Solanum lycopersicum: one gene and its partner. Each later gene encodes a partner of the first gene's protein in a complex. Links are inferred from orthologs where the notes say so. Each region holds a gene or a part of one and is shown on either strand. Other genes may lie near its edges.

What was found.
Region 2: NAD(P)H-quinone oxidoreductase subunit T, chloroplastic (region 1) and photosynthetic NDH subunit of subcomplex B 4, chloroplastic share a complex: the UniProt entries of both Arabidopsis thaliana proteins name them as parts of the chloroplast NDH complex. The link is inferred for Solanum lycopersicum from reciprocal best matches to the Arabidopsis thaliana genes NdhT and PnsB4.

What each region holds. Positions count from the first base shown.
Region 1 is NC_090808.1:63,749,709-63,753,276, forward strand, and holds NAD(P)H-quinone oxidoreductase subunit T, chloroplastic, read left to right. Parts: upstream 1-1,332; 5' UTR 1,333-1,709; coding exon 1,710-2,101; intron 2,102-2,187; coding exon 2,188-2,608; 3' UTR 2,609-2,811; downstream 2,812-3,568. Other genes in the region: monothiol glutaredoxin-S2-like, read left to right, coding at 377-685; uncharacterized protein, read right to left, coding at 2,812-3,004. UniProt on the Arabidopsis thaliana protein: NDH shuttles electrons from NAD(P)H:plastoquinone, via FMN and iron-sulfur (Fe-S) centers, to quinones in the photosynthetic chain and possibly in a chloroplast respiratory chain.
Region 2 is NC_090811.1:46,151,157-46,154,999, forward strand, and holds photosynthetic NDH subunit of subcomplex B 4, chloroplastic, read right to left. Parts: upstream 2,578-3,843; 5' UTR 2,363-2,577; coding exon 2,291-2,362; intron 2,209-2,290; coding exon 2,152-2,208; intron 2,072-2,151; coding exon 1,936-2,071; intron 1,858-1,935; coding exon 1,802-1,857; intron 1,732-1,801; coding exon 1,660-1,731; intron 1,083-1,659; coding exon 954-1,082; 3' UTR 833-953; downstream 1-832. UniProt on the Arabidopsis thaliana protein: NDH shuttles electrons from NAD(P)H:plastoquinone, via FMN and iron-sulfur (Fe-S) centers, to quinones in the photosynthetic chain and possibly in a chloroplast respiratory chain.

The DNA of each region.
Region 1 (3,568 bases):
ATTAGAAGAAGAATTTATATTGGAACTTAATTGGAAAAAAAATATGTAGATATGTAACAAAGTTCACTTACTAGCCTCCATACTTTATGGTGGATTTTTTTTTTATATATATATTTTTGGTACACTTTTAAGACAGTATCAAGAACTTCTAATGCTATCTAACAGTATCAACTCCTTATCTAAAAAATTATTCCTTCCTTTAATTTATTTGGGTGGGGGGGGGGGGGGGGGGGGGGGTTTAGAGGAAGCATATTGAATCTTCACAAGTCACTATTAGTATATAAATAGCTTCAATAAGAGTTTCAAATTCATCATCAATTCAACAAGTTATCAATTCTCTTATATTACATTAATCTTTTTTTTTCATTAATTAAAAATGGAGTCATTGAAAAAAATGGTAGCTGAAAAGCCAGTGGTTATGTTTAGCAAAAGCAAGTGTTGTATGTGTCACACTATAAAGACACTTATATCAAGTTTTGGTGCTAATTTAACTGTATATGAATTGGATGAACTTCCCAATGGGCTACAAGTGGAGCGAGCTCTGCTGATGCTAGGCCGAAGGCCTAGCGTGCCAGCAGTGTTTATTGGACAAGAATTAATTGGCGGTGCCAATGAGATTATGAGTCTTCATCTAGAGGGAAATCTTGTTCCTCTACTCATGAAAGCTAAAGCTCTTTGGCTATAGTGTGTATATATATATATACACTTTTTTTTTTGCTTTACATATCTAGTATGCGAAATTTACTGGCATGATTAGTTCAGACTCACGCTAGTAAAACTACAATATATCATGTAGAAAGTGCATATTAACACCTTGTAAGTTTGGTTTTTCTTAATGTTTGTGGAATTGAGCATCTTTTATTTAGTATGCTCAATGAAAACTCTGTTTTCTCAAACAAGTGTCTTTTAATGTATCTTTAAGCATTGTAATAATAAATTATATACAATGCCATACTTCAACATGACTTGTCATTCTGTTTTAATTATTTTTGTTAGATGCTTGAGTATGAAGTTGTGTTTCCTCGAGATGTGAATCCAGGATTTAAAGTTTGTAAATTCGGAATCTATTCAAAAAAGTAAAATATGTGATATTTGTATAATGATCCTGCCTTGTGAATTGAAAGCAAGATAGATTTAAAAAGGGTTAAAAGAACAACTTGGCTCTCTTTTATTTGCCACAAAAAAGAAAATAAATTACATTGACCTCCACTTCAACAATTCAAAAAACAAGTTACGAGTTAGCTCATCCTATAAAATTAGTTTAAATATATGTCAGCTAACTTGAATATCATGATAATTATATAAAAAGGAAAATATAGAGACAAGGGGTGTGTTGCGTTCCGAACACTAACTCACAAACTCATTCTTTTTGCCACCCAACTCCCAAGGAGTATGATTGTATTTATAGGTGGCAATGAGCGGGTAAGACTGAATTTGTTCGGGTTAAAAATGAGCTGAGTTAATAAATAGACAGGTCATTGATCCGCCCAAAAGTTACTTGGACTGAAATGGACTAAAACGTGGATCATAACTCAACCTGTCCAACTTACTTTTATAATTTTTTTAGTACCTTAAAGAATGTATATAAATTGTCTTGAAGTTAAAGAGTACAAACGTCAAAAATCAAAATTATTGATATTTCACAAATGTAGACAAAAAAGCAAACAAAATGTTTAGTTATTTCCTCAACCACACAGAAAGACAAGGTGATGAGAAAGCCCCTCCCTCTAAGACTACTCAAATCAGACACAAAACAAATTTCCAATTCCATGGCGTCAGCAACAGCTCCACCAGCTCCATTCACCTTTCTTACAAGGAACCAAACCAATAATGAGCACAGAACAGATACCAGATGGTTGACAACAAAACAAAGAAGACGCCGTGTTGGCTTACAAGTTTATGCAAAAGAAGAAGGGGCTACTGGGCGACAACGTGCTCCTCCTGGTGTTGACACAAGAATTCACTGGGAAAACGAAGATGAAGGATGGGTAGGAGAGAGTAAGTCACGGTCCACACAAGAACGAATCAAAACAGACGAAAAGAATCTCTTTGATGAAAAATTCTCAGACCTCCTCAACAGTTCAGCTAATTCTCACTACCAGTTAGTCTTCATTATCTACTTTGCTATCTTCATCTTATCTCTTAATGTGTGGCTCACAGTTCATAATTCTAATGTTTCAAATTCAGGTTCTTGGGAGTATCTGCAACAGCTGATCTAGAGGAAATTAAAGCTGCATATAGGAGGCTATCAAAGGAGTATCATCCAGACACAACTAATCTTCCTATAAGAGCAGCATCAGAGAAATTTATGAAACTAAGAGAAATTTATGATGTCCTGAGTGATGAGGAACAACGGCGATTCTATGATTGGACACTAGCTCAGGAGACAGCAAGTCGAGAAGCAGAGAAAATGAAAATGAGGCTGCAAGATCCACGCATGCTGGAAGTAGAAAACTGGGAATCTGTTCCAGACATGGTGGATCGACTTGGTGGAAGGAACATGGAGCTGAGTAATCAGGCAAAAACTGCCCTCACATTTGATATCTTGATTATCATCTTTTCGTTTTGCTGCATTATATATGCAGTAGTCTTCAAGGAACAATATTAACAGGAACAACTATGTGCATTATACAACAACAATATTCTATACTGTCAATACGCAGTTCATACACTGCAATGACAATGGATTGGGAAACAGAACGACTAGAGCTTTAGTCATAAGTATAACTATAGTTTATTTCTATTGAGATTACAAATTTACACTATTGTCTTTTCATGAGATTATTGACAGCAAATGAAGAAACAATTCTCTCATACATCAATAAAATCTTTCATGATGGGGCTATGTTTCTCAATGTTAGCCTGCCTACGCCAATTACTCACTGCATGCTTAACGGTGTCACTGGCTTTCTGTATTTCCTCAGCAGAAAATTTGTGTTCCACAATGCCTAGTGGACCAGGTTGTAGTACCTTAACTACAGTTTCCATATCCAGCTCCAGTTGCCTGTTAAAACAAACACCAAAATAATGCTGAAAGACATGGAAATTCATATTCACAATTTGATCTTTGTGTCTCATTCTGGTCTAAAAGAGAATATTAGGAAAATCCAATTGAAGAGTGCTTTGAAGCGCACGTTCCTATCAATCTGCATTTAGATACCTACTCTTCAATCAATAAATAATAACAAAGAACAAGAAAACACCAACGGTCATGCTAATTGCTAAATAGAAACAAGAGTTTCTCGTTTCTTGATAACACAACTCCGTAATTCTCAAGAGTTTGATAACAACTCCGTAATTCTCAAGAGTTTGATAAGTTCTAAAATTTCACTTACTCTTCAAATATCAAATGAATTAACTAATGTAATCCTACAACAGAAGTTGGCACCTTCTCTCAACCAAAAAGGAAAAGAATACTTCTATGTTATAATAGTATTAAACTGCCATACACATTGTTTTCTGTAAGATATAGAACTCCCAACACTTGGACCTTTTTCCTCATAAATGTGGTTCTGGTCCAAGCTTGTGCCACACTGACTAATTCCACTGGGTACCAGCTACTTCTCAC
Region 2 (3,843 bases), on another chromosome or scaffold:
ATTACCTCTCGTCTTCGATTCCAACACTCTTCTTGAGTGACTTCTTAATTATTTTATTAAATTTAGTAACTTTTGAGTTATCAAATAAAGTTGAGTGATTTTCTATGTAAATCATTTTAAATTGAGTAAATTTGTAAGTGAGTTATTCAAAATTGAGTGATTATTATCTCTCAGTTTTATCAAAGGAGCAGGTTCTCTTTATCAGTTTTCCCTGTAATGTTTTAACAACATCTTCAATTCTTTCTGGAGATCTATCAAAGACATGGTTCCTACGTATCACTATTTTTTGTACACAAATTGCCACTTGTACAATGTTTATCAGTCAATAAAAAACTATGCAGTCTTGAATGTAAATTCAGAGATGATATCTTTTGTAGCTTTAAGCCAAAATTCTTTCCAATCTCCTCAACCAGGGAGGGAACATATTGGCCATTATTATTATTTTTTAATTTTATTTTTGAAGACAACGGGATTTCACAGTCACTATTCTTTGGGTGCGCACAAGGTAATTTTTTCGCTCTTATGCAATAGCTCACTACTTGCAAGCCTGCTGCAATGAGTTCGACCCAAAAGGCAAACTTCTTGCTTTCGCTGGCAGGGGGTTTCAAACATGCAAGTCCCAAGGTCAAACTACTGATCCAACCCAAAGGGTTAACAATTTGGCTATTATTGAAGTAATTTTTGATTTCGTGATGTGTATGCCATGAATCTTGTTAAAAGAGCATTGCATGACTTGCTAGTAGCAAATACAAAAAGAGAACTGATTCTGTACAGTGCAAATGTTGACATTGTGACAGTTCATTAAGACAACATTTTGAAGGGGAAATCTGAGTTTTGCAACATAACACTGAATTAAGGCAAAACAGCCATGTTGTATAGAACTGGAAATCATATATTGTATATACATAACTGGGAAGCATCATAAAATTTGTTCTTAGCACATATAAAGATGATCATTTGACCAACTGTTCCTTCTTCCCAGCTTCTTCAAGCTCTCGAAGACTCCCAACCTTTTGTTCAATCTCCTCTATCAGTTCATCACGCCACAGCTCTGCTCTCGCTTCTTCTTCGATGTCTTCTTGCTGCACAATCACAAAATCAGATTTGTAGTATCATTCACTACACAAATATCATGGCATTCCACCTTGTAAAGATATCTATATATCTTGAATAGGACATTTAGGTGCCAAAATTCATGTTGAAACAAATTCAGACAATTCGAAACTAGCTAGTATGATTTTGACATTTATATGCATAAAATTATTTCAGTAAAGTTTTATTTTAGAAACGAGAGATGTTCTTTTAATGGAAAAAACATTCACATCAAGAATTCAGGATTTAGACTACAATTAACTCTTTAAAAACCTTTTTTTCACCTGTCAAAGCTAAAACTCGCATGTGAGGTATAAACTATGATAATCCATGTTTTATCCGTGTGTTTGGTTGGAGGTATTAAGCAGTTCTGAGATTATTTATGATAAGTTATCACATTTACATGATCAAATAATTAATTCGTATAATTAATCCTAATATAACTTGTTCCCAACCAAACGACATATTAACTGAAACCTATAAACATTTCTCTGTCGCGAACAAGAAAGGGTATTTTTCCCTTTTGATTTTCTAACCTTGATAGAAAACGGAAAAGAAAAACTGTACCTTCTCATAGACCCAATGTCCAGTACCATCACCTCCATCTCCTCTGTATTGTTCTGAATCATAGTAAGGATCCTAAAAGAAAAAAGACACATAATAATGAGATACAACTCAATTTTATGAAGTTTAATTTCAAAAATTTTACTTTGGTAGAACCGAAGAAACAGCATCCCCAAACAGTGAACATGATGTAAAATGTATCTACAATGGAGAAAAAATTAGGTGTGAGAATTTTGAATTAGAATGATAAAAATGAATTAGTAAGTAATGATTACTCACAGACATTCTTCATGGCTTCATCACTAAGATGCCAAACAGATTTATGAGTTATGAGGTCTCTTTGACCTTCCATATGCTCAACTAATACTGCCATTAATGGCCAATCTGGGAGTGCCTTCACCCTATTTCTTTCAATCTAATCATAGAAATCCACAGCATTAATTATGCTTTTGCAAACCATACTTGTTCAAATCAATAATAACATGTAAAACCTACCTGGTGCCTCCTGCCTGCATTATTTCCAAAAGGTGAGGTTGGACAATGCCTTAGCTGCTGAGAAAGTGAAAAGAGGTAATTAGTTAAGCAGAATTAATTATAAAAAGATTGAATTTGAGATACAAGTAATGGTTTTAACTGATTTACTGAAAGGGTGCAGCAATTCCGATGTAGGACTAGGAATAGAGGGTTTGATGAATGTGAAGCTCATGATTTGAGTTTGGGATAGTTATTTTTGGGTTCCTCTATTCCTTTTATCCGAGTTATAAGGTTAGGAAAACACATAAGAAAAACACACGGTTCATCTATTCCCTTTATCCGAGTTATAAGGTTAAGAAAACACATAAGAAAAACACACTCTTCTGCTTACTCACAACTATTATTTTCTCAAACAATTTTGGTTTTGTCTTATTCTTCCTTTACCACACATCATACGCATCTTGGATATTGGAATTTAAATCATTGGGATATTTGCTACACTCAATACTTATTTAGCATAAAACTTATTAGAAACATTTATAATTAATGTAGGTGTAAATTACAAAAAATTATATATTATTTTATGTATCATAGAAGATATAACTAAAATATAAATAAGTAATACATAAAAAATGTATTTTCATTACTAATGTTAACATAAAATTATAACTAAAAAGAATTAAAAATATAGAAAAGGGTCTAAAATACCTTCGAAATATTGAAAATGGTACACAATTACCCTCCATCCATCTATTGGCCCCCAAATACCCTTCACACCCACCCTTGGGTCTAAATTTACCCATTCATTAACAAACCAAAATTAAAAATAATTAAATAATAATTTTTAATTACGTGGCACTCAACCATTGATTGTAATTTAATTATTTAAAATAATTTTAAACCCACCTATTTTAACTAAATCCGCCCACTTGACCCAATTTTAAAAATAACCATCTAATTAAAATATGCTAAAACCTTATTCCTCCCATTTTCACAATTTTCATGACTCCATTGTCTTTTCTTCTTCATGAAGAAATTTCCAGCTTCTTCTTCGATTTCTTGCCCTGAAGAACTTCAAAAGGATAATAAAATCCATCACTCCCCCCCCCCCCCTCACCCCCACTTTTTTTTTTTCAACACACACACATCACCTTCCTCTTTTTTCTTTGCAGATCAAGAAACCAGAGCAACTTATAAATAAAAAGTATTATCACTAACTAAAGTCTCCTAATTGCTTAACATCCATCTCTATCTTTCATTATCTTTCCTCTTATTCTACTCACTCTTCACCTTAATTCTTAAAACATTTTCCTAAGATTAAACCATTGAACTAGCTGAATTAAATCAAACAGTAATGCCATTACTGTTTGATTTAATTCAGCTAGTTCAATGGTTTAATCTTAGGAAAATTCAGCTAGTTCAATACCATTTTAATTTTGTGACATTTCTTAAGCATTTGAATTGATCTGGCAAATTGTGTTATCTTTCAAGGAAGATCGAAACGGGATGATGGTAGATGGGCGTGGCAAGATACCCTTCATCGTGATAGTCGTTCCAGTAGTAGCAGCAGGCGTTATGAGCCTTCACCATTGCCAAAGTTTCTTGGTGCTTCACCTGATTCTCGACTCGTTTTCCCATGGCTCGGCGATCATACTCCTCATTCTGCTGGTATGGTGTCTGTGAATTCTAACACTGGCGTTGTTTCGTAAAAAT